Linked DNA regions of Stegostoma tigrinum. The protein of the gene in region 3 purifies or fractionates together with the protein of the main gene of each other region. This does not show direct contact. Links are inferred from orthologs where the notes say so. Each region holds a gene or a part of one and is shown on either strand. Other genes may lie near its edges.

The links. Proteins that work in one complex are often made in the same cells at the same time.
Region 1: the proteins of dis3l (region 3) and exosc2 purify together in Homo sapiens (affinity purification with mass spectrometry; 5 studies listed by BioGRID and IntAct, with this or other methods). This does not show direct contact. The link is inferred for Stegostoma tigrinum from reciprocal best matches to the Homo sapiens genes DIS3L and EXOSC2.
Region 2: the proteins of dis3l (region 3) and exosc4 purify together in Homo sapiens (affinity purification with mass spectrometry; 5 studies listed by BioGRID and IntAct, with this or other methods). This does not show direct contact. The link is inferred for Stegostoma tigrinum from reciprocal best matches to the Homo sapiens genes DIS3L and EXOSC4.

Annotation. Positions count from the first base shown.
Region 1 is NC_081382.1:41,692,220-41,699,847, forward strand, and holds the start of exosc2 (exosome complex component RRP4), read right to left. Parts: upstream 3,017-7,628; 5' UTR 2,839-3,016; coding exon 2,723-2,838; intron 222-2,722; coding exon 120-221; intron 1-119. UniProt on the Homo sapiens protein: Non-catalytic component of the RNA exosome complex which has 3'->5' exoribonuclease activity and participates in a multitude of cellular RNA processing and degradation events.
Region 2 is NC_081355.1:159,722,739-159,729,727, reverse strand, and holds the start of exosc4 (exosome complex component RRP41), read right to left. Parts: upstream 3,017-6,989; 5' UTR 2,971-3,016; coding exon 2,800-2,970; intron 2,084-2,799; coding exon 1,877-2,083; intron 1-1,876. UniProt on the Homo sapiens protein: Non-catalytic component of the RNA exosome complex which has 3'->5' exoribonuclease activity and participates in a multitude of cellular RNA processing and degradation events.
Region 3 is NC_081386.1:34,950,593-34,957,756, reverse strand, and holds the start of dis3l (DIS3-like exonuclease 1), read left to right. Parts: upstream 1-4,151; 5' UTR 4,152-4,281; coding exon 4,282-4,441; exon of another isoform or gene 4,442-4,886; intron 4,887-5,327; coding exon 5,328-5,481; intron 5,482-7,164. UniProt on the Homo sapiens protein: Catalytic component of the RNA exosome complex which has 3'->5' exoribonuclease activity and participates in a multitude of cellular RNA processing and degradation events.

The DNA of each region.
Region 1 (7,628 bases), on a different chromosome or scaffold from region 3:
GGCACCTTGTTTCAAACCTTAATACAACTACTGGTTATGAAATGGAATCAAACCATTTCTATAAAATTTACTCATTGTTCGATGACCAAATGCACAGACAGTAAGTGTTAAGGACATGCCTGGTTTGAAGTGGTTTGACACATATCAACTTGTTCACTCTTTCCACAGCTCCAGCAACTGACGCAATTAGCTTCTCATCTTCCATATAGGTACCATGGCCTCTGGAACAGACATAATATATACTGTATTAGGATACACAAAAGTTACCCACTCAAGGCAGGCTAATGGAAACCTACAACTCTTCAAAGAGAGAGTTCGGTGCTGAATGTGAACTTTTGTCTATTTCTCTCACCACTGTATCTTTTGAATAGAATAAATCAATCTCAGATTTAGAGCTATTAGCTGGCCAACCTTCTGCTGTATTTATGTTTCCTAATTTCCAAGGCCTTGGTCTTAATTTTGAAGATCATGTCCACTTAGGAAGTCTTCACCCTATCCCAATGAACCTGTTTCATAAGCTTTATTGGCCACAGTTTCCAATACATCTGTCACTTGCCATGTGGCGAATTGATGCTCTCAGTATTATGTTACACTAAAAAGATGGAGTTGTGGCAATACAGTTGGGATGCAAAGTGAAGGACTTGGTTTTATTCATTGGTTGTTTTCACAAAAAAAAACTGATGTACTTCAGCAACTGAGTGTTGCATGGGGTCAATAAGAACTAAAATGTGCAATGCTGGCAAACGGGCAGTGCATAAAAATTCACCTTAATAGATTTGTTGAAACAAGCAGGATTACTTGAAAAGGAAGGTTACAGGAGGCTGGCCTTGAGCCAAGTCTCCAAACACTGCATTCAAAACTGGCAGGTAGAGTGCAAGTAAGAATCAGAGCACAAACACCATAAAGACATGTGGTGGCTATTTTCCTCCCCATATCTCCTAATATAGCAATTCTAAAGGGAAAGAAAATCTTTATTTCAAAGATAAACTTGAGCACACTATCAAAAATCAACATATGTTAAAAGCATGTCACCAGCATTACGAGATTGCGCATACTTGCGAAACAGCCCAATTGGAAATTCCCTTTTGAAGTTGTCGTACGGCTGTGGCAGCAGATTTACCAGCCTCGATTGCTGATGGTTCAAAACACCCCAACCTAAAGTTTCCTAGAATCACCACAGGATGGAAAGAAGCCATTTGCCCCATAGAATCCACACTGACCCTCTGAACAGCATTCCCACTGCCCTCCCCATCCTATCCTGTAATGTTGTATGAATCATGGCTGATCCACGTAGTCTGCACATCCACGGACACCGTGGGGTAATTTAGTCAATCCACCGAACTTGTACAGTTTTGGACTGTGGGACGAAACTGGAGCACCCAACAGAAAGCCACAGAGCAAAACATGCAAACTCCAGAGAGAGTCACCCAAGGCTAAAATTGAACCCGAATCCCTGTCATCAAGAGACAGAAGTGTTGGCTGCTGTGCCAATTATTTTATTAATAAATGCATTTATTTTGTGTTCCAGTTAGTGATGAAACAGTCACAGATTTGAAGAATGAAAGCAGAAAGCCATATGCACGACACCAGTCTAAGTCATCTTTATGCCTTCTTTCTAAAGTCTGTCTGTTAATGTATACAAGGCACTTGTTAGATCTCAGCTCGAGTATTGTGAACAGTTCTGGCTGCCACATGTAGGAAAAGATGTGAACACATTGGAGAGAACGTATAAGTGGCTTGCAAGAATGCTTCCGACGATGAGGAATATCAGTAAATGAGCACAGACTGGTGAAGCTATAACTGTTTTAGAGAGAGAGAAGGCAGCTAAAATGCAATCTGATAGAGATTTTGAAATCAAGAACAAGCTTAAGAGGGTAAAATAGGGAGAAACTGTTTCTGCTTTTGAAAGGAACAAGAAGAGGAGAGCATCAATTTAAAGTAACCTGCAAATGAAACAAGAAGGAAGTCAAGAAAAAAAAAAATTCAGTGAGCATACTCAGGACAGGGAACATAGAGACTGGAAATGTGGAGAATGGTTCAGCTGATGCACTTAAGACAACATTGAATAATTATTTAGATAAAATAACATGCAAGATTGGGAAAAAGCAGGAGACTGGCACTGGATGACATTGCTTTAGCAACCACTGCAAATGTTGGAAATCTGAAATAAAAACTGGTGAAACCTGGCAGAGGGTTATACAGGTTACACTGAGTCCAATACGATTCACCTTCTGTTTTGTCTTTTCTAATACTTGTTTGGAAGCTTCCAGTACTATCATTCCCTTTTGTATATTCAGCGGAGAGTCTTATTTTAAGACACAGACGAGGCAGATGTGGTAAATAAGAATGAGGCAGCTATTGGAAATCTGGAACAAACGCAAAATGCTGGAGAAACTCAGCAGGTCTCACAGCATCTGCTGAGAGAGAAAACAGAATTAATATTTTATGTTCTGAACGAATGGTCATATCTCCAGAGATGCTGACAGGCCTGCTGGGTTTCTCAAAGATCATTTCGATGCAGGCTATCGAGTTTGCACTGATGGCGACCATCTAGTATTTATGGAGATGTGACTTTGAACGAGTTTCAGTCACTGACCGTTGATAAAAAGATTTAAATTTATAGGCCGAATGCGCACCGTCTACCCACGTGGATTTCCTTGCCTCTGGAGTTAACGTCCTGATTTAAAATATAAAAGTTCTCCCATTTTTGTGTTAGTTTTACCTCATGAAACCGGTGTCGGTGGTGATGGTGTCTCCCGGTGATACCAGATGTTTACCGACCTCAGCCGGTAAAGAGACACGCTTTCGCGCCGTCGGTAACCGAATGTCCACCGCCATCTTTGTTACTGGCGTACAGCCTGCGGCGGCCACCTATAACCACTGCCGCCATCTTTGATATGGCGAACGGGCATCAGCTGCCAAATATCATTGCAGCCGCCATCTTCAATATTGGCAAATAGCCTTCCGTGGTTATGACCACATCGATATCTTTCACGTCGGCGAATCCTACGTTACTGAATACCTGATGCTGAAAGTCGGATATAAACAAAAAAAGAAACATGAAAAGATACACAGAATTAACATTTCACTTCCATGTGTTCGTCAAACCTCTCAAATATTTCTCGCATTGTTTGCAAAATCCAGCTTTTACCACATTTACTGAACTCAATCACTGTAGAGCTGCTGCAAGCCCCGATTAACAGAATCCTTTAAATTTTTATTTCAGTCTTCCATCATCCGCAGTTTTGAGCTGTTAACTGCCATCTTTAACACTGGCAAGACACGCCAGCTCTACTTCCGCCATTTTTAACACAGGCATTCGACAAGTCTTTGGGGATTGGGGGGGGTGGTGATTGATTATCGCCATGTTTCTTACTGGCAGACTGAAACTGTCACCATCTTTGTTATTGGCAGATGTTTGGCTCCTTTCTCCTTGCCTCCATGTTTGTTTCCGGGCTGTCTCTGCACCGTTATATCGTCCTAATAACGAATCGACCCGCGCTTTTCTATGATGTTGTGTGGTGAATCAATTAGCTCTTCAACGTAACAAATCAGATAGTTACCATATTGTTGCCAGTATTTTTACGCGTTTTACAAGGTTCTGGTTAACTCGATGTCCGTCTCTGGAAATGGTGGGTGCCGCCATTTTGAGTCCAAAGTTAAACCCAAAACAAATTTTAAACACTGTCAAACTTAAACTATAACTAAATAATATGAAAGCACACGTAGTGATTTACTAGTTCTGGATCTATTGTTGGTCAATCTTATTTCGTAGAATCCCAACAACGCTGAAAGAGGCCATTCGGCCCATCGCACGAACTATGACCCTATGAATCTGCAACGACCCGCAGAGCAGCCCACCCTATCCTTGTTCGCCCCACGTTAAACATGGCCAGTCCACCTAAAGCTGCAAATCTTTGATCTGTAGGAACAACCTGGAGCATCTGACACAAACTCCACACACGAGCCACCCAAAGGGCTGGAATTGAACTTGGGTCCCTGGCACTTGTGAAGTAATAATGCTAACTGTTGAGCCACCATGCTGTCCCAAACCATACTTCTAGTAAGGCTGAATATTATTTCACTAATACTTGCACAGGTCTAAACAAACAATATGGCTTCTTAAAAACATGTTTCTCAAATTTTGAAATACATATGCCTCTACTTTTATCAATAGCTGGCAAAAGTAAAGGTGACATGGGAAGGGACACCTGGAATGCACTGCTTAGGAGGTGATGACTTGTCAATACAAGAGGAAACCATGGGCAACACAGAAGGGGTAGGATAGTGGTTTTCGTTGGTTGCCCTCACTATCACCATTTGGCTAGATTACTGCCTGCTTAGGCACCAGTTCATGGTAATACTGGACAAGTCAAATTCCAGAGTAACATCTGTCTTGATAGACCATGTCGCATTTTCAAAAAAAATTCCAGATGCTGGATAACAGAAACACAAACAGAAATTGCTGGAGAAACTCACCGGGTCTGGCAGTGACTGGATCCAAAACGTTAATTCACCAACCCAAGGAAGCCTAACCAGATAAATAGAAAGCGGGACATAACACCAGCGCTTCATCAGAGGCTCACTGATGATGTTACCTAGAATAGTGACGAAACGTCTGAAAAACTAACCTTCCAGCTCAGCGAGCAAACTCACATCCAGAACCTCAACCTGAGCTACAAATCTTCTCAAAATGTTAACTCTGCTTCCTGCCCAAAGATGCTGCAACCTATACTCACCTCTACAGGCTCCATCCCCACCCCTTTAATTTGTCTGCCTCCTCTCCACCTATCTTCACCTCTATCCACCTTCGGTCCACCTCCCCCTCTCTCCCTATTTATCTCAGAACCCTCTCCCCATTCCCCTTTTCTGATGAAGGGTCGAGGTCAGCTTTTGTGCTCCTGAAATGCTGCTTGGCCTGCTGTGTTCATCCAGCTCAACACTTTGCTGCAAGACTTGCTGAATTTCTCTAGCAATTTCTGTTTGCATTTCTTATTTTCACAATTCTGTTACTATGGTGGTCAGTCACCAGTGGTTGCCATTGTATCTTTGATAAAAAGAATTTAAGTTTATTACACAAAGAATAGAGGAAAAGACTAAGATGACAATTTGAAAAACATCCAAAAAGCTTCTCTTTTCCAGCAATATCCTTTATTGATACTCAATCCTAATATTACAAAATACCTTTCGTAATTGATTTCTGACACAATTAACAAGGCTACAATGATTTACTGTTGACAAATGTATGTATATTTTGTATGTAAGATTACAATTATTTCCGTTATTCTATCTCCCTGACACAGTATTGTTACTAGTTAGCTCAGACAAACATTTAAGAGGATTAATGTTTGGCCAAAAAAACACAAATGGCATAGGTGGAGGCTATTCAGCCCATCGTGTCTATGCAAGCTCGAGTGCATATTATTACCTAATGTCAATCTTCTGCTCTTTTGCCTATTCTTGCAAGTTATTCCTAACCAAATAATCATCCAATGGTCTCTTGAATGTCTCAACTGAATCTGCTTCCATCATACTTTCAGGCATTACATTGCTTCCAATGTTACGGACAGTATGGCCCATTTATACATATGAACTAGGAACAGGAGAAGATCATTTAGGCCCTCAGCCTGAATGGCCTATGACAACTCATAATTTGTATTTTTATGTAAATATAAATGGGAATATTATCTGTGCTAGCAAACGATTATCTATTCAAAAGCCCTTTTTCCATACATCTGTATATATTTTAAAATGTTAATTTATATAGCACAATCTCAGGATGCCCCAAGTGTCTTCTAAACCATGTAGTTAGTGACTGAGTTAAGGATACATAGTGTATTAAGTGTTACATCCCACTTGGGACAGTGTGCTGATGCTTGAGCCTCTCTATTCCTTAGGGCATCATGAAAAGATTTAATCAAAGTCTGTACAGTTCCCAACTTACCTGACTGACAGATTCAAGCCAACAGAAAACAGTCGCCAGACCCCCAAAAAAATTGATGTTAAACACAGAGGAAAGATCCGACAGACAAGCAGAGTTCAAAAAGCACGAGTTCACAAGACTCAGTAAGGTGAACCTTTTTCTTCCAGATACCGTCTACTGCCTGGTCTTTTTTCAGTTTCTTTCACTTTGTGGCAGGAGGCACAGGCAATTGATACAGTCTTTGTATTATTGGTTAAAAGCAACAAATCATTGCAACTTTTGGAAGAAAATAACTAGAATGATTTTACTGCAGAGATATGAAGACAGAGCCTTCTGACCTTGTCCACTACACACATGGCAACTGTTCAGTTGCCCAGGATCCAATCACAGAGCATTGTTAAACTGGTGACCTCAACTGGTCTGAATAAATAATCTGTTGCTAGCTAAACTTGCTTTGCAAACAAACCCTGATAGTGTGTGGAGAGGAATCTCTTCTTCTCCACTGTTTGCAAAGCAACAATGTAAAGGCAATAAAATGTGAGGCTGGATGAACACAGCAGGCCAAGCAGCATCTCAGGAGCACAAAAGCTGACGTTTCGGGCCTAGACCCTTCATCAGAGAGGGGGATGGGGAGAGGGAACTGGAATAAATAGGGAGAGAGGGGGAGGCGGACCGAAGATGGAGAGTAAAGAAGATAGGTGGAGAGAGTGTAGGTGGGGAGGTAGGGAGGGGATAGGTCAGTCCAGGGAAGACGGACAGGTCAAGGAGGTGGGATGAGGTTAGTAGGTAGGAGATGGAGGTGCGGCTTGGGGTGGGAGGAAGGGATGGGTGAGAGGAAGAACAGGTTAGGGAGGCAGAGACAGGTTGGACTGGTTTTGGGATGCAGTGGGTGGGGGGGGAAGAGCTGGGCTGGTTGTGTGGTGCAGTGGGGGGAGGGGATGAACTGGGCTGGTTTAGGGATGCAGTAGGGGAAGGGGAGATTTTGAAACTGGTGAAGTCCACATTGATACCATATGGCTGCAGCGTTCCCAGGCGGAATAGGAGTTGCTGTTCCTGCAACCTTCGGTTGGCATCATTGTGGCACTGCAGGAGGCCCATGATGGACATGTCATCTAGAGAATGGGAGGGGGAGTGGAAATGGTTTGCGACTGGGAGGTGCAGTTGTTTGTTGCGAACTGAGCGGAGGTGTTCTACAAAGCGGTCCCCAAGCCTCCGCTTGGTTTCCCCAATGTAGAGGAAGCCGCACCGGGTACAGTGGATGCAGTATACCACATTGGCAGATGTGCAGGTGAACCTCTGCTTAATGTGGAATGTCATCTTGGGGCCTGGGATGGGGGTGAGGGAGGAGGTGTGGGGACAGGTGTAGCATTTCCTGCGGTTGCAGAGGAAGGTGCCGGGTGTGGTGGGGTTGGAAGGCAGTGTGGACCGAACAAGGGAGTCACAGAGAGAGTGGTCTCTCCGGAAAGCTGACAGGGGAGGGGATGGAAAAATGTCTTGGGTGGTGGGGTCGGATTGTAAATGGCGGAAGTGTCGGAGGATAATGCGTTGTATCCGGAGGTTGGTAGGGTGGTGTGTGAGAACGAGGGGGATCCTCTTGGGGCGGTTGTGGCGGGGGCGGGGTGTGAGGGATTTGTTGCGGGAAATACGGGAGACGCGGTCAAGGGCGTTCTCGATCACTGTGGGGGGAAAGTTGCGGTCCTTAAAG
Region 2 (6,989 bases), on a different chromosome or scaffold from region 3:
CTTTGAACTCAGTAAAGCTAAAGGTGACAGTGAAGACTGCTTATCAGATTCTTAGAATCACAGTGCAGAAGAGTTCATTAAGTCCATATTTCCAAAAACATTTATTCTAGGTTGCTCCAGGAAGCGAGAAAGGAGGTTGCTAAGACGCTGGCGAAGATCTTTGCTTCCTCACTCTCCGTGGGAGTCGTACCGGAAGATTGGAGGGAGGCAAATGTTGTTCCTCTTTTCAAGAGAGGGAATAGGGAAATCCCTGGAAATTACAGACCAGTCAGTCTTACGTCTGTGGTCAGCAAGGTTTTGGAAAGAATTCTGAGGGATAGGATTTATGACTCTCTGGAAAAGCATAGCATGATTAAAGGGAGTCAGCATGGCTTTGAGAGGGGCAGGTTCTTATTTCAAACAGAGTGGAATATAAAAGTAGAGAGGTTTTACTGAAACTGTACAAGGCACTAGTCAGACTACAGCTGGAATATTGTGAACAGTTCTGGGCCCTTTTATCAAAGGACAGAATAACTGGCATTGCAGGCAGTCCAGAGAAGGTTCATTTGGCTGATACCAGGCATATCGGGACTGTCTAATCAAGAAGTTGAGTTTATTGCATCTGTACTTATTAGAATATAAAAGAATGAGAGGTGACCTTATTGAAATGCAAGATTCTTAGGGTGCTTGACTGGGTAGATGCAAGGATATTAGAGATAACAAGGTGTAGGGCTGGATGAACACAGCAGGCTGAGCAGCATCAGAGGAGCAGGAAAGCTGACATTTCGGGCCTAGACCCTTCTTCAGAAATGGGGGAGGGGAAAGGGGTTTCAGAAATAAATATGGAGAGACGGGAGGCAGATAGAAGATGGATAGAGGAGAAGATATGTGGAGAGGAGACAGACAGGTCAAAGAGGTGGGGATGTAGCCAGTAAGGGTGAGTGTAGGTGGAGAGATAGGGAGGGGATATGTCAGTCCAGGGAGGACTAACAGGTCAAGGGGGCGGGATGAGGTTAGTCGGTAGGAAACGGGGGTAGGGCTTGAGGTGGGAGGTGGGGAAAGGTGAGAGGAAGGACAGGTTAGCGAGGTGGCGACGAGCTAGTCTGGTTTTGGGATGCGGCAGGTGGAGGGGAGATTTTGAAGCTTGTGAAGTCCACATTGATACCATTGGGTTGCAGGGCTCCCAAGCGGAATATGAGATGCTGTTCCTGCAACCTTCAGGTAGAATCGTTGTGGAACTGCAGGATGGACATGTCGTCTGAGGAATGGGAGGAGGATTTGAAATGGTTCATTACTGGGAGGTGCGAACATTCCCCACTTATGTGAAAGTCTATGACCAGAGGACATTATTTCAGAACACAGAATTACCTATTGAAGACAGATGAAGAGGAATTTCTCCTCCTACAGGAGTGGATCTGTGGAATCCTTTGCCACAGGAGGCTGTTGAGGGGAAAAGGCAGGAGAGTGGAGTTGAGGATCAGATCAGCCAGTGATCTCAGTGAATGGCAGAGAAGGCTCCAACAGCTTCAACTCCGACATCTCATGTTTCTCTACCATACTTTCAAAATTCAAATTTACCCACTGCATTCCCATCTTTCAGTGAGACAGTTCCAGATTTCCACTCTCATTAATGTGAGGAAGGACTTCCTGACATCACTTTTAATGACCTTCCGAAATTTCTAGTGCTCAGTCCCAGTGTTCCAGAAATTCCTATGAGAGGAAAGAACTTCTGTTCATGTGGGGTGAGGCAGAGCACCTAACAAAAGAAGCTGCACTAAGTAAAGGGTAACTGGGATGGGAGAGGGGACTCAGGTTCAGGACCTGACTCAGGTAGAAGGGCCAAGCAAGCGAGTGAAGATCAGATCTAGAGGCCAGGGTAAGGCTCAGAACACAATACCTGCACGTAAATATCAATTTGGGATCGCGGGTAAAGCTGTGTCAAAATGGCAGCTTCGAATGTCTGTTTCAGGTGCAGGGTCATCTCTGATGACTTGCGGTCTCCATGGGGTCTCCGCTTACGCTCGCCTGTGCTGAAGGTCGCCATGCTGTACTGGCAGTTCACCATTGCTTTGTCATGTAGGGCTTTACTGCGAGCACCACGAACCTGAAACACAGGGTACTGTGATCACTATCACCTACAACACAGACACAGGCAGCAACAAAAGGAACATTGTAGAGAGAGCTTTACACTACAGCTAACCCCGTGCTGTCCCTGGGCATGTTTGATGGGGACAGTGTAGAGAGAGCTTTACTCTGTATCTAACCCTGTGCAGTCCCTGTCCTGAGAATGTTTGATGGGGGACAGTGTAGAGGAAGCTTTACTCTGTATCTAACCCTGTGCAGTCCCTGTCCTGAGAATGTTTGATGGGGGACAGTGTAGAAGAAGCTTTACTCTGTATCTATCACCGTGCTGTCCCTGTCCCTGAGAATGTTTGATGGGGGACAGTGTAGAGGTAGCTGTACTCTGTATCTAACACCGTGCTGTCCCTGTCCCTGAGAATGTTTGATGGGGGACAGTGTAGAGGAAGCTTTACTCTGTATCTAACACGGTGCTGTCCCTGTCCCTGTCCCTGAGAATGTTTGATGGGGACAGTGTAGAGGGAGCTTTACTCTGTATCTAACCCTGTGCTGTCCCTGTCCCTGAGAGTGTTTGATGGGGAATAGTGTAGAGGAAGCTTTACTCTGTATCTAACACCGTGCTGTCCCTGTCCCTGGGAGTGTTTGATGGGGGACAGTGTAGAGTGAGCTTTACTCTGTATCTAACCCCGTGCCATGCCTGCACATGCGCGCCAGCAAAACACATGCGCACTGGGTACTTGCCTCATGCGGACCGTAAACAACTGCCAGCGCCTTGGTATTCCCCTGCTCGATATAAGCTGAGCCATCGGCTTGAGCGAACACCCCCATTCGGGCCTGAATCTTCCGAAGCTCGGTGGGTTTCCGACCGTCCACGCGGTATCCCTGATCAGAGAGCAGCTCCATCCCCGCCATCTTGTCGGCCGTCTCGTACCGGAAATGGACTGCAGCTCCCAGAAACCCCCGTGCGGCCGCGGGGCGTCCCCCGGACTACAACTCCCAGCGTCCTCCGGAACCAAAGCCTTTGAGCCGCTCAGTGATTGCATCTTGGGAATTGTAGTTCGATATTGACAGCAGCCTTCAGATGACAGTATAATAGAGAATAGATCATGCTGTATTGAGAGGATCAGCACAAGACTTTACGTTTGCTTCTAAATCTGTGCCTCCGAATTGAGTTCAATCCCTAGTTCCCTTAGAAAATGCCGCTAACGTCTCAGTTCCACTTAATATTGACTTATCATCTAAGGTTGCCAAGCAATTCCTAGAGCTTTCGAAAGTGCATTGGCCAGTGTGAGGACCAATCCAAATGTAGAATATCTGATCTGTTGGCACTGTGAGCGCATTGGTGGGGGCTCCGCCAATCAAAGTGGGGCTCCATCGGCTGCGGCGTTCCTTTCTGCTGAGTGGATCCCCCAGCACCAATGCATGCGCTGTTGTTTTGTGATTGGTTGGTACGCTGCCTTGCTCTCTCCCCGATTGGCCATTGGAGTGTCGACGTTGAGGATTGGACAGTGCGGACCCGCCCCCCTATTCGTGATTGGAGGGGGCTGGGTTTGGGCGTGGCTTCGCCGGTGGACGGGTCAACGCCTCGGTCACAGAGGCAGAGGTGTCCGAGTGAGTTTGACCGGAGGCTCGGGGCGATCAGTCTGTCAGGGCTTCGTGGTGTTAGACCGACACCGAGGTCAGGGTTAGGGGGCAACCAGACTGACCAGGATTCGGGGTGACGGGGGGATTAAACTAGCGGTTTGTGGGAGTTACACTGGTTCAGATGGACTGGGGTCAGACTGACAGGGATCAGGACATCAGACTGATGGGACTGGAGTCAGACTGACAGGGTTCAGGACATCAGACTGATGGGACTGGGGTCAGACTGACAGGGGTTCAGGACATCAGACTGATGGGACTGGGGTCAGACTGACAGGGGTTCAGGACATCAGACTGAAGGGACTGGGGTCAGACTGACAGGGGTTCAGGACATCAGACTGATGGGACTGGGGTCAGACTGACGGGGGTTCAGGACATCAGACTGAAGGGACTGGGGTCAGACTGACAGGGGTTCAGGACATCAGACTGATGGGACTGGGGTCAGACTGACGGGTTCAGGACATCAGACTGATGGGACTGGGGTCAGACTGACAGGGGTTCAGGACATCAGACTGAAGGGACTGGGGTCAGACTGACAGGGGTTCAGGACATCAGACTGATGGGACTGGGGTCAGACTGACGGGGGTTCAGGACATCAGACTGAAGGGACTGGGGTCAGACTGACAGGGGTTCAGGACATCAGACTGATGGGACTGGGGTCAGACTGACAGGGGTTCAGGACATCAGACTGATGGGACTGAGGTCAGACTGACGGGGGTTCAGGACATCAGACTGAAGGGACTGGGGTCAGACTGACAGGGGTTCAGGACATCAGACTGATGGGACTGAGGTCAGACTGACGGGGGTTCAGGACATCAGACTGAAGGGACTGGGGTCAGACTGACAGGGGTTCAGGACATCAGACTGATGGGACTGAGGTCAGACTGACGGGGGTTCAGGACATCAGACTGAAGGGACTGGGGTCAGACTGACAGGGGTTCAGGACATCAGACTGATGGGACTGGGGTTAGACTGACAGGGTTTCAGGACATCAGACTGATGGGACTGGAGTCAGAATGACAGGGGTTCAGGACATCAGACTGATGGGACTGGGGTTAGACTGACAGGGGTTCAGGACATCAGACTGATGGGCCTGGGGTCAGACTGACGGGGGTTCAGGACATCAGACTGATGGGACTGGGGTCAGTCTGACAGGGTTTCAGGACATCAGACTGAAGGGACTAGAGTCAGACTGACAGGGGTTCAGGACATCAGACTGAAGGGACTGGAGTCAGACTGACAGCGGTTCAGGACATCAGACTGATGGGACTGCGGTCAGACTGACAGGGTTTCAGGACATCAGACTGAAGGGACTGGGGTTAGACTGCCAGGGGTTCAGGACATCAGACTGATGGGACTGGGGTCAGACTGACAGGGGTTCAGGACATCAGACTGAAGGGACTGGGGTTAGACTGACAGGGGTTCAGGACATCAGACTGATGGGACTGGGGTTAGACTGACAGGGGTTCAGGACATCAGACTGATGGGACTGGGGTTAGACTGACAGGGGTTCAGGACATCAGACTGATGGGACTGGGGTCAGACTGACAGGGGTTCAGGACATCAGACTGAAGGGACTGGGGTTAGACTGACAGGGGTTCAGGACATCAGACTGATGGGACTGGGGTCAGACTGACAGGGGTTCAGGACATCAGACTGAAGGGACTGGGGTTAGACTGACAGGGGTTCAGGACATCAGACTGATGGGACTGGGGTCAGACTGACAGGGGTTCAGGACATCAGACTGATGGGACTGGGGTTAGACTGACAGGGGTTCAGGACATCAGACTGAAGGGACTGGGGTCAGACTGGCAGGATTAGCCAGGCAGGGATTTGCAGCTTGGCTGATGGGAAGCATACTGAGTTGATGTGACTGGGGAGGGTGGTTAGATACTCACCAGCATCCTCTTCTCCCCACTGCTCCGTAATTCTAGCCTTTTGTGGAAACCATGCACTTGGTGTTTAAAATAATTCTAACTGGTGGTTTTCCTTTCTTTGCTTTTAAGATATCTGAACTTTGAAGCAATTTGTAAAACTTGCCAGCACAGCTAGCTGGCACTGAATGATCAGGAGCAACATCGGGAGGGTTGATGTTGATTTATTCATTTTTACTGCCTGTGCCGCAGGTGAGTCTGTATCAATCCATGTTCAACAGAAGTAGTCTTCCAGTTTACGTCATCTCACTGAACAAATTCCTGCTCCTTTCAAATTACACAGTGTGGTAAGCTTTGGTGCTGAGCGACAGAACGAGGATCACAGATTAACAAAGATTCATAAACACACGTTAGTTTGCAAAGCTTTGTTACACATTAACAAAGACCGTGTGGTCGAGAGGGTCTGCAAGTTTAAAATTAGCCAGAATAACTCGGTTGCATTTTTTGTAGCAGACTTATCATTTACAATTAATCAAAATGATAACTGCAGTTAGACACTGTTGTTAACTTCCTCTCAATATCCTAAAGCATTTTACTAAAGAACTTTTGAAGTCTAGTCAAGGTTGGAATGTAGGATATAAGGCAATTGATTTGCGCACAGCAAACATGCACAGACAATAGCGTAAGAGTGAGCAAATTGACATTGGATCTGTGATAAGGGACAAACATTGGCACCAGAGCCTGTGGGGGCTGCCTCTGCCCTTGTTTCAAAAGTGCCATGATCTTTTATGGCCACCTGTGACCCTCCAGCAGTGAGGCACTCTTTCAGTACTGACCCTCCGACAATGCAGCACTCTCTCAGCACTGACCCTCCGACAGTGCAGCACTCCCTCAGCACTGACCCTCCGACAGTGCGGCGCTCCCTCAGCACTGACCCTCCAACAGTGCAACGCTTCCTCAGCACTGACCCTCCGACAGTGCGGTGCTCCCTCAGCACTGACACTCCGACAGTGTGGTGCTCCCTCAGCACTGACCCTCCGACAGTGCGGCGGTCACTCAGTACTGACACTCCGTCAGTGAGGCGATCCCTCAGCACTGACCCTATGACAATGCGACACTCCCTTAGCACTGAGCCTCCAAAACTGTGCGCTCCCTCAGCGCTGACTCTCTGCTAGTGCGGTGCTCCCTCAGCACTGACCCTCCGACAGTGCCCACTCCCTCAGCACCAACCCTCCAACAGTGAGACACACCCTCAGAACTGACCCTCCAACAGTGAGGCACTCCCTCAGTACTGACCCTCTGACAGTGAGACACTTCCACAGTACTGACCCTCCGACAGTGAGACACTTCCTCAGTACTGACCCTCCGACAGTGAGACACTTCCTCAGTACTGACCCTCCAACAGTGAGGCACTTC
Region 3 (7,164 bases):
TTCAGCCCTGAAAGTGTCCAGCACGTCCATCAATCATCACTTCACAGAGAAAGAAAGGTTATCTGTGTGGTCAGGATCATCAAGAAAATTAACCTTTCCTTCTGGCTCAGATGCTGATCGATTTGCTGCATGTGATCTGCCAGACAAAATCGACGCTAATTTACCTAACAAAGAAAACTAACCATTCATAGGGCAACATTTCGGGAGCCCCAGTTATTTCACAACATGAATGAGCGGACTGCTGTGGTGTTTTCTTGCACCTGCAAGTATAGTTAGCGCATCTGCCCCTTTTGTTTTGCTCCATTAAAGATGTGGAGAAAGAACCATGACAGCTTAGGGTTAGTACAAATTATTTTTAAAGAAAGATTGACGATTTTTAGAAGTTTAGAAGCAACGTACACATTTTTATTGGGATGGGAGATATGTGCTGGCAGTTCCACGACACCAAGGTTTTGTTTTTCAGAATGTGAGGGATGCAGGTCGTTAATGCTGGGAAACAATTCTCTTTGATGTCAATTTTACATCAAGCATCATGAAATGGTCCAAATTCTGAGTAAAGCTCTACTTAATTCAAGAAAAAGAAACCGTGCCTTCAATTAAACCAATCTTTGTACGTTTGAATATTTCAGTTCATTGCTTTCTACTGTATTTTCTAGTAAGATTGAGCCATAAGCTTTTGATGTAAGACAACAAAGTGTGGAGTTGGATGAACCCAGCAGGTCAAGCAGCATCTCAGGAGCACAAAAGCTGACGTTTCGGGCTTAGACCCTTCATCAGAAAAGGGGGATGGGGAGAGGGTTCTGGAATAAATAGGGACAGAAGGGGAGGTGGACTGAAGATGGAGAGAAAAAGAGATAGGTGGAGAGGAGAGAATAGGTAGGCAAGGGGTAGGTCAGTCCAGGGAAGACGGGCAGGTCAAGGAAGTGGGATGAGGTTAGTAGGTAGGAAATGGAGGTGCGGCTTGCGGTGGGAGGAAGGGATAGGTGAGAGGAAGAACAGGTTAGGGAGGTGGGGATAAGTTGGGCTGGTTTTGGGTTGCAGTGGGGGGAGGAGACAAGCTGGGCTGGTTTTGGGATGCAGTGGGGGAAGGGGAGATTTTGAAGCTGGTGAAGTCCACATTGATACCATTGGGCTGCAGGGTTCCCAAGCAGAATATGAGTTGCTGTTCCTGCAACCTTCGGGTGGCATCATTGTGGCACTGCAGGAGGCTCATGATGGACATGTCGTCTAAGGAATGGGAGAAGGAGATAAAATGGTTTGTGACTGGGAGGTGCAGTTGTTTATTGCGAACTGAGTGGAGGTGTTCTGCAAAGCGGTCCCCAAGCCTCCACTTGGTTTCCCCAATGTAGAGGAAGCCACACCGGGAACAGTGGATACAGTATACCACATTGGCAGATGTGCAGGTGAACCTCTGCTTAATATGGAAAGTCATCTTGGGGCCTGGGATGGTGGTGAGGGAGGAGGTGTGGGGGCAAGTGTAGCACTTCCTGCGGTTGCAGGGGAAGGTGTCGGGTGTGGTGGTGTTGGAGGGGAGTGTGGAGCGAACAAGGGAGTCACAGAGAGGGTGGTCTCTCCGGAAGGCAGACTAAACCAAGCAGAGGCTTGGGGACCGCTTTGCAGAACACCTCAGCTCGGTTCACAATAAACAACTGCACCTCCCAGTCACGAACCGTTTTATCTCCTTCTCCCATTCTTTAGATGGCATGTCCATCATGGGCCTCCTGCAGTGCCACAATGATGCCACCTGAAGGTTGCAGGAACAGCAACTCATATTCTGCTTGGGAACCCTGCAGCCCAATGGTATCAATGTGGACTTCACAAGCTTCAAAATCTCCCCTTCCCCCACTGCATCCCAAAACCAGCCCAGCTCGTCCCCTCTGCCCACTGCATCCCAAAACCAGCCCAGCTTATCCCCACCTCCCTAACCTGTTCTTCCTCTCACCTATCCCTTCCTCCCACCTCAAGCCACACCTCCATTTCCTACCTACTAACCTCATCCCACCTCCTTGACCTGTCTGTCTTCCCTGGACTGACCTATCCCCTCCCTACCTATTCTCTCCTCTCCACCTATCTCCATTTCTCTCCATCTTCGGTCCACCTCCCCCTCTCTCCCTATTTATTCCAGAACCCTCTCCCCATCCCTCTTTTCTGATGAAGAGTCTAGGCCTGAAACGTCAGCTTTTGTGCTCCTGAGATGCTGCTTGACCTGCTGTGTTCATCCAGCTCCACACTTTGTTGTCCTGGTTTCTCCAGCACCTGCAGTCCCCATTATCTCTGATCACAGCTTTTGATGTAAGACTGGTACTGATGTGAAGATGTTTAAGGTGTTGTATGAGGTAAGCGTAGCGACATGATTTGGGAATCAAACTTGACCTGAATATCGAAAGTAACTGAAACCACCCAAGAGTAGCATTTCATGCCATGATTTACACTTAAGGCAGTTCAGCTTGTGTCTGTTATGAACTTGGAAATATAGGAACAGGAGTAGGCCATTCGGGCTGTTCTGTTCAATGAGATCATGGCTGCTGTATAGCTTAACTCCTTTTGGCCTTTGTCCCTTAATATCTTTGCTGAATAAAAATGCATCTAAAAATAACAATTGATCCACTGCAGTTTATGGAGGAGAGTTCCAAACCTCTACCATTCTTTGTGTGTGCAAGTGTTTTCCACCATCTCCCCTGAACGGTCTGGCCCTAATTCTCAGCCTATGTCCTCTGGTTCTCGAATCACTGACCAGGGCAATATCTTGACCTACCCTGTCTTTTCTAGTTAATATATTGAAGACTTCAATGGGATCACTCCTAATCTTCCAAATTCTGGAAAAAAAGGCCTAATTTGTCTAATCTTTCCTCATATAGTAGCCACTGGTCCAGGTTTCATTCTTGTATACCTATGTTGTACTCCCTCCAAGGCGAAGATATCCTTCCTCAGGTGTTGTGCGCAGATCTGCTCACAGTATTCCAACTGGGGTCGAACCAGTATAACAGCAACATAACTTCTGCCATCTTATTCTCCAGTCCGCTGGTTTTAAATGTTAGCATGCCGTTAGCTTTCTTCATTATTCTCTGTACGTGTTCATTGCGTTTTAAGCTCGGGTAAATGGAACTGTTTCAGTTTCGGAAACCCAGGCAGGGGGCGGACTAAAGGGTTTTTTTCGTGTTGTATGACTCTATGCACCCCAAGTCTCTTTGGACAGCCATTGTATTTAAATTAATAGCATCTAGAAAGTTCCAGTCCAAATTTGAAAAAGAAATTATAATCATTATTACATGAGAGGAACGCAATTTTTTCCCTTCTAAGAAACCGTAATCACCGAGAATGGAGGTCTGGAGATTCATGTAAGCACATATGCACAGAACTCCCTCAGTCACATAATTATTTAAGACTCGTACTAGGAGCATAAAGTATCCTAATGATATTACCTCTTTTGTTTATACATTCCACTTTTATTTAGATCTAATGTTATCTCTAGAATGATTCATGGATTTTCAACCAGTTTATTCGACATTTTTTACTGCAAATCTCCGAGTGGCATCTTCCTGCAGTAACATTGAATACCGTGTGAGAATCTTCGACATCTTCAAGGCTATGTATTGCGATCAAGAGATCAGTTTGCTACAAAGTCGAGAAACTCCCCGATATTCAGTGAGACCCAATTCTGAGCAGAGTTGCTAATGTAGGAAAGTACTTTCTCTAAAAAGGGAGTAATATAATCAAAAAGAAACAGACAGATCTGAAATTCGTTAAAGTGGGGTGATTTGTTTCATGTTAACAGTCAAGCACACAAACAGTAGGTTACCTTTACGTGGAGATAGCAGGAACTGCAGATGCTGGAGAATCTGAAATAACAAGGTGTAGAACTGGATGAGCACAGCGCCAAGCAGCATCAGAGAAGCAGGAAAGCTGACGTTTCGGGCCTAGACCTCTTTTCAGAAACGTCAGCCTTCCTGCTCCTCTGATGCAGCTTGGCCTGCTGTGTTCATCCTGCTCTACATCTTGTTACCTTTTATTTGGAAATGTGTAACACATTCAGATTGCAAGGAGCAGTTCAGTTTGCGCATGCGCTCCTAGTCCATCACTTTGCCCCGCAGTGCAACCCTTTGCCCCGCAGCACCGAATTACATTTCCGGTTCACACGCGGGGGAAGCTGTCAGGTTGAGGCGGGCGGAAAATGGGCGCTAGGAAGGCAGGAGGTGTTTGTTCGAGTTGTTTACATCCGCGGAGCGTGGTCTTCCTGGGGCTTGTCGGAGAATTGAGTTCGAGAAGAAAAGTAATCGCTTAATGGCTCCTCCGCTTGTTTACAACAGTGTAATGATAAAAACGGAGAAGGTGCTGCACCTGAGGAGCTGCAAAGGGAAATCAGTTCGAGTTGTGAGGGAGCATTACCTCAGGCAGTCGGTTCCCTGTAACAGTTCCCTGTGCCAGGCTGAGTGCTACAATGGTAAAGTATGGCCGAGCGGGTACAGTCATCTACAAAGCAGAACTCTCAACGATATTAAAACTCATGGAGAAAAGAAAATATTGCATTTATATCACATTTTTCTGGCGGTTTCAAAGTGTTTTATAACCAATGAAGTACTTAGAAATGTGGCCACTGATGTAGGAAACACAGCAGCCAATTTGCACTCAACAAGATCCCAAAACAGCAGTTCCTGTCCAGAAAATCTCTTCCCGATGTTGATTGAACATAGATATTGGCCACGATGGCAGGGAGAACTTCCCTGCTGTTCTGTGAAGTAGAGCTTGTGGGATCTTTTATATCCACCTGAAAGATGACACCTCTGACAGTGCAGCACTTTCTCAAGTACTGTACTGGGAGTGTCGGCCTGGATTGAGTAGTCGAGCTTCTGATGTGGGACTTGAACATACAACCTCCTGACTCAGAGGTGAGATAATGCTACCTATTGAACCACAGTTGACATTGTAAAAATTGAATAAAATAATACTCAAAAATATTCAGGATGAGGATAGAACTGAACTCCTAATATAGAAGGAATTTTATATATCTTTCATTTCCTGTGAACATCCCAAAGATATATACAATTGAATTAAGTTTGAAGTACAGTGAGTATGCAAGTAAATTCTCACTTAGAAATATCTCTCAGATGTAATTGGACAATCTGCAACTGAGGTTAGTTGAGGGAAAATACTGCCCAGGATATTGAGAGAGCTCCTTGTTTCTTCTAATAGTGCCATGGGATCTTTTATTTTCATATGAACATTGAAATAGTAACTAAATATCTCACCTGAATATCAGTGTTACTTTTGCAACTAACGTACTGTCTTTTATGCTACTTGCTTAATTCTGCGTTAACTTAATGTTTCAGAAGGGAAATTGTTGTCAGAAAGTGCAACTCATTATGTGATACCTGACTGGAAAGTGGTGCAGGATTATTTGGAGATACTTGAGTTTCCAGAATTGAGAGGCATTGTCTTCATGCAGACAGCTTGTCAGGCTGTCCAACACCAGAAGGGACGCAGGTTTGTGATGGCTATCTATCTTTAATATTTGATGGATTTAAAGATCACGCAAAGCACTGGTCAGTTACTGAATCAAACAGTTAAAGCTTGAGCACTATGATTATTTAACTATGGCCTGTGATTTGTAACTCATAATATTTGATCAAAAACAGAAGTTGCAGGAAAAGCTCAGCAGGTCTGGCAGCATCTGCAAAGAAAAGGCCAGAGCTTCTGTTTCTGACTTACAGTGTCTGCAGTTCTTTTGGTTTCTGTAATATTTGATTTTTATCTTGATTTTTAAAATTACTTGCAGTGAATAACAGCAGTTTGCAACAATACATATTTGGTGTAAAATCAGCATGTCTGTTGTCAATGGCCAACTGACTGAGGGCTGATATGGCCTGTGACAAACATGGTGCATTTGTTGACTAACTGTAGAAAGATCAACATTGTGTTCTTCCACTTCCAAATGCAATTTGAAGGTGAAGGCAACACCAGCAAACAGGTCAGAATGTGACAAGTTCCCAGTGAACTAAAAGCAGCAGGTTTTCAAGGGTGAAAGAAGTTCACAAAATGATAAAGGAAACAGCTGATATTTAGGTCCAAGGTATCGAGCTGGATGAACACAGCAGGCCAAGCAGCATCATAGGAGCAGCAGAGCTCCTATGATGCTGCTTGGCTTGCTGTGTTCATCCAGCTCTACACCTTGTTGTCTCAGATTCTCCAGCATCTGCAGTTCCTACTATCTCTGATATTTATGTCCTGAGGTTTATAGTTGGAGTGACCTCAAACCTCCCGGTAATTATAATGAAAACTAACTAACTATTACTTGAAGGCATTCTACCTTTGTACAGAATTATATAGATGCTGTTTTCTTGTTCTCATATGTGGTTAAGTATGTTGATGTTGTTATATCATCTGGCAAATCACAAACTCTCCTCCATAAACTGCAGTAGACCAATAAATGCTGTGATCGGAGGGGAAACTCTGGAGAATTCCTGTACAATATTTCTTTATTGATAAGCTCGTGGAAGGATCCTAGGTGCATGACTACTGTTTTGCAGTGCTTTAAATTTATGGAGCTATAGAGTTATACAGCACAGAAACAGATACCTTGGATCAACTTGTCTGTGCCAACCAGATATCCTAAACTGATCTAATTCCATTTGCTAACATTTGGCCCATATCCCTCTAAACACTTGCAATTCATGTACCCATCCATATGCCTTGTAAATGTTGTTATTGTACTCAACTCACCCACCTCCTCTGGCAGCACATTTCATACACGCACCACCCTATGAGTGAAAAAGTTGCCCCTTGGATCCCTTTTGCATCTTTCCTCTCTCACTTTAAACCTATGTCCTCAATTTTGGACTCCCTTACCCTGGGAAAAAGACCTTGGCCTTTCACCCTATCCATGCCCCTCATGATTTTATAAACCTCTATAAAGTCACTTCTCAGCCTCCAGCGGTACAGAGGAAAATACTCCAGCCTATTCAGCTTCACCTTATAGCTCCAACCCTCCAATCCCAGCAACATCCTTACAAATCTTTTTTGAACCTTATCAAATTTAACAACATCTTTCCTATAACAGGAAGACCAGAATTGAATGCAATATTCTGAAAGTGGCCTCACCAATATCCTGTACAGCTGCACCATGATGTACACGAATGCTGTACTCAGTGCATGGCCAAAGAAGGTAAA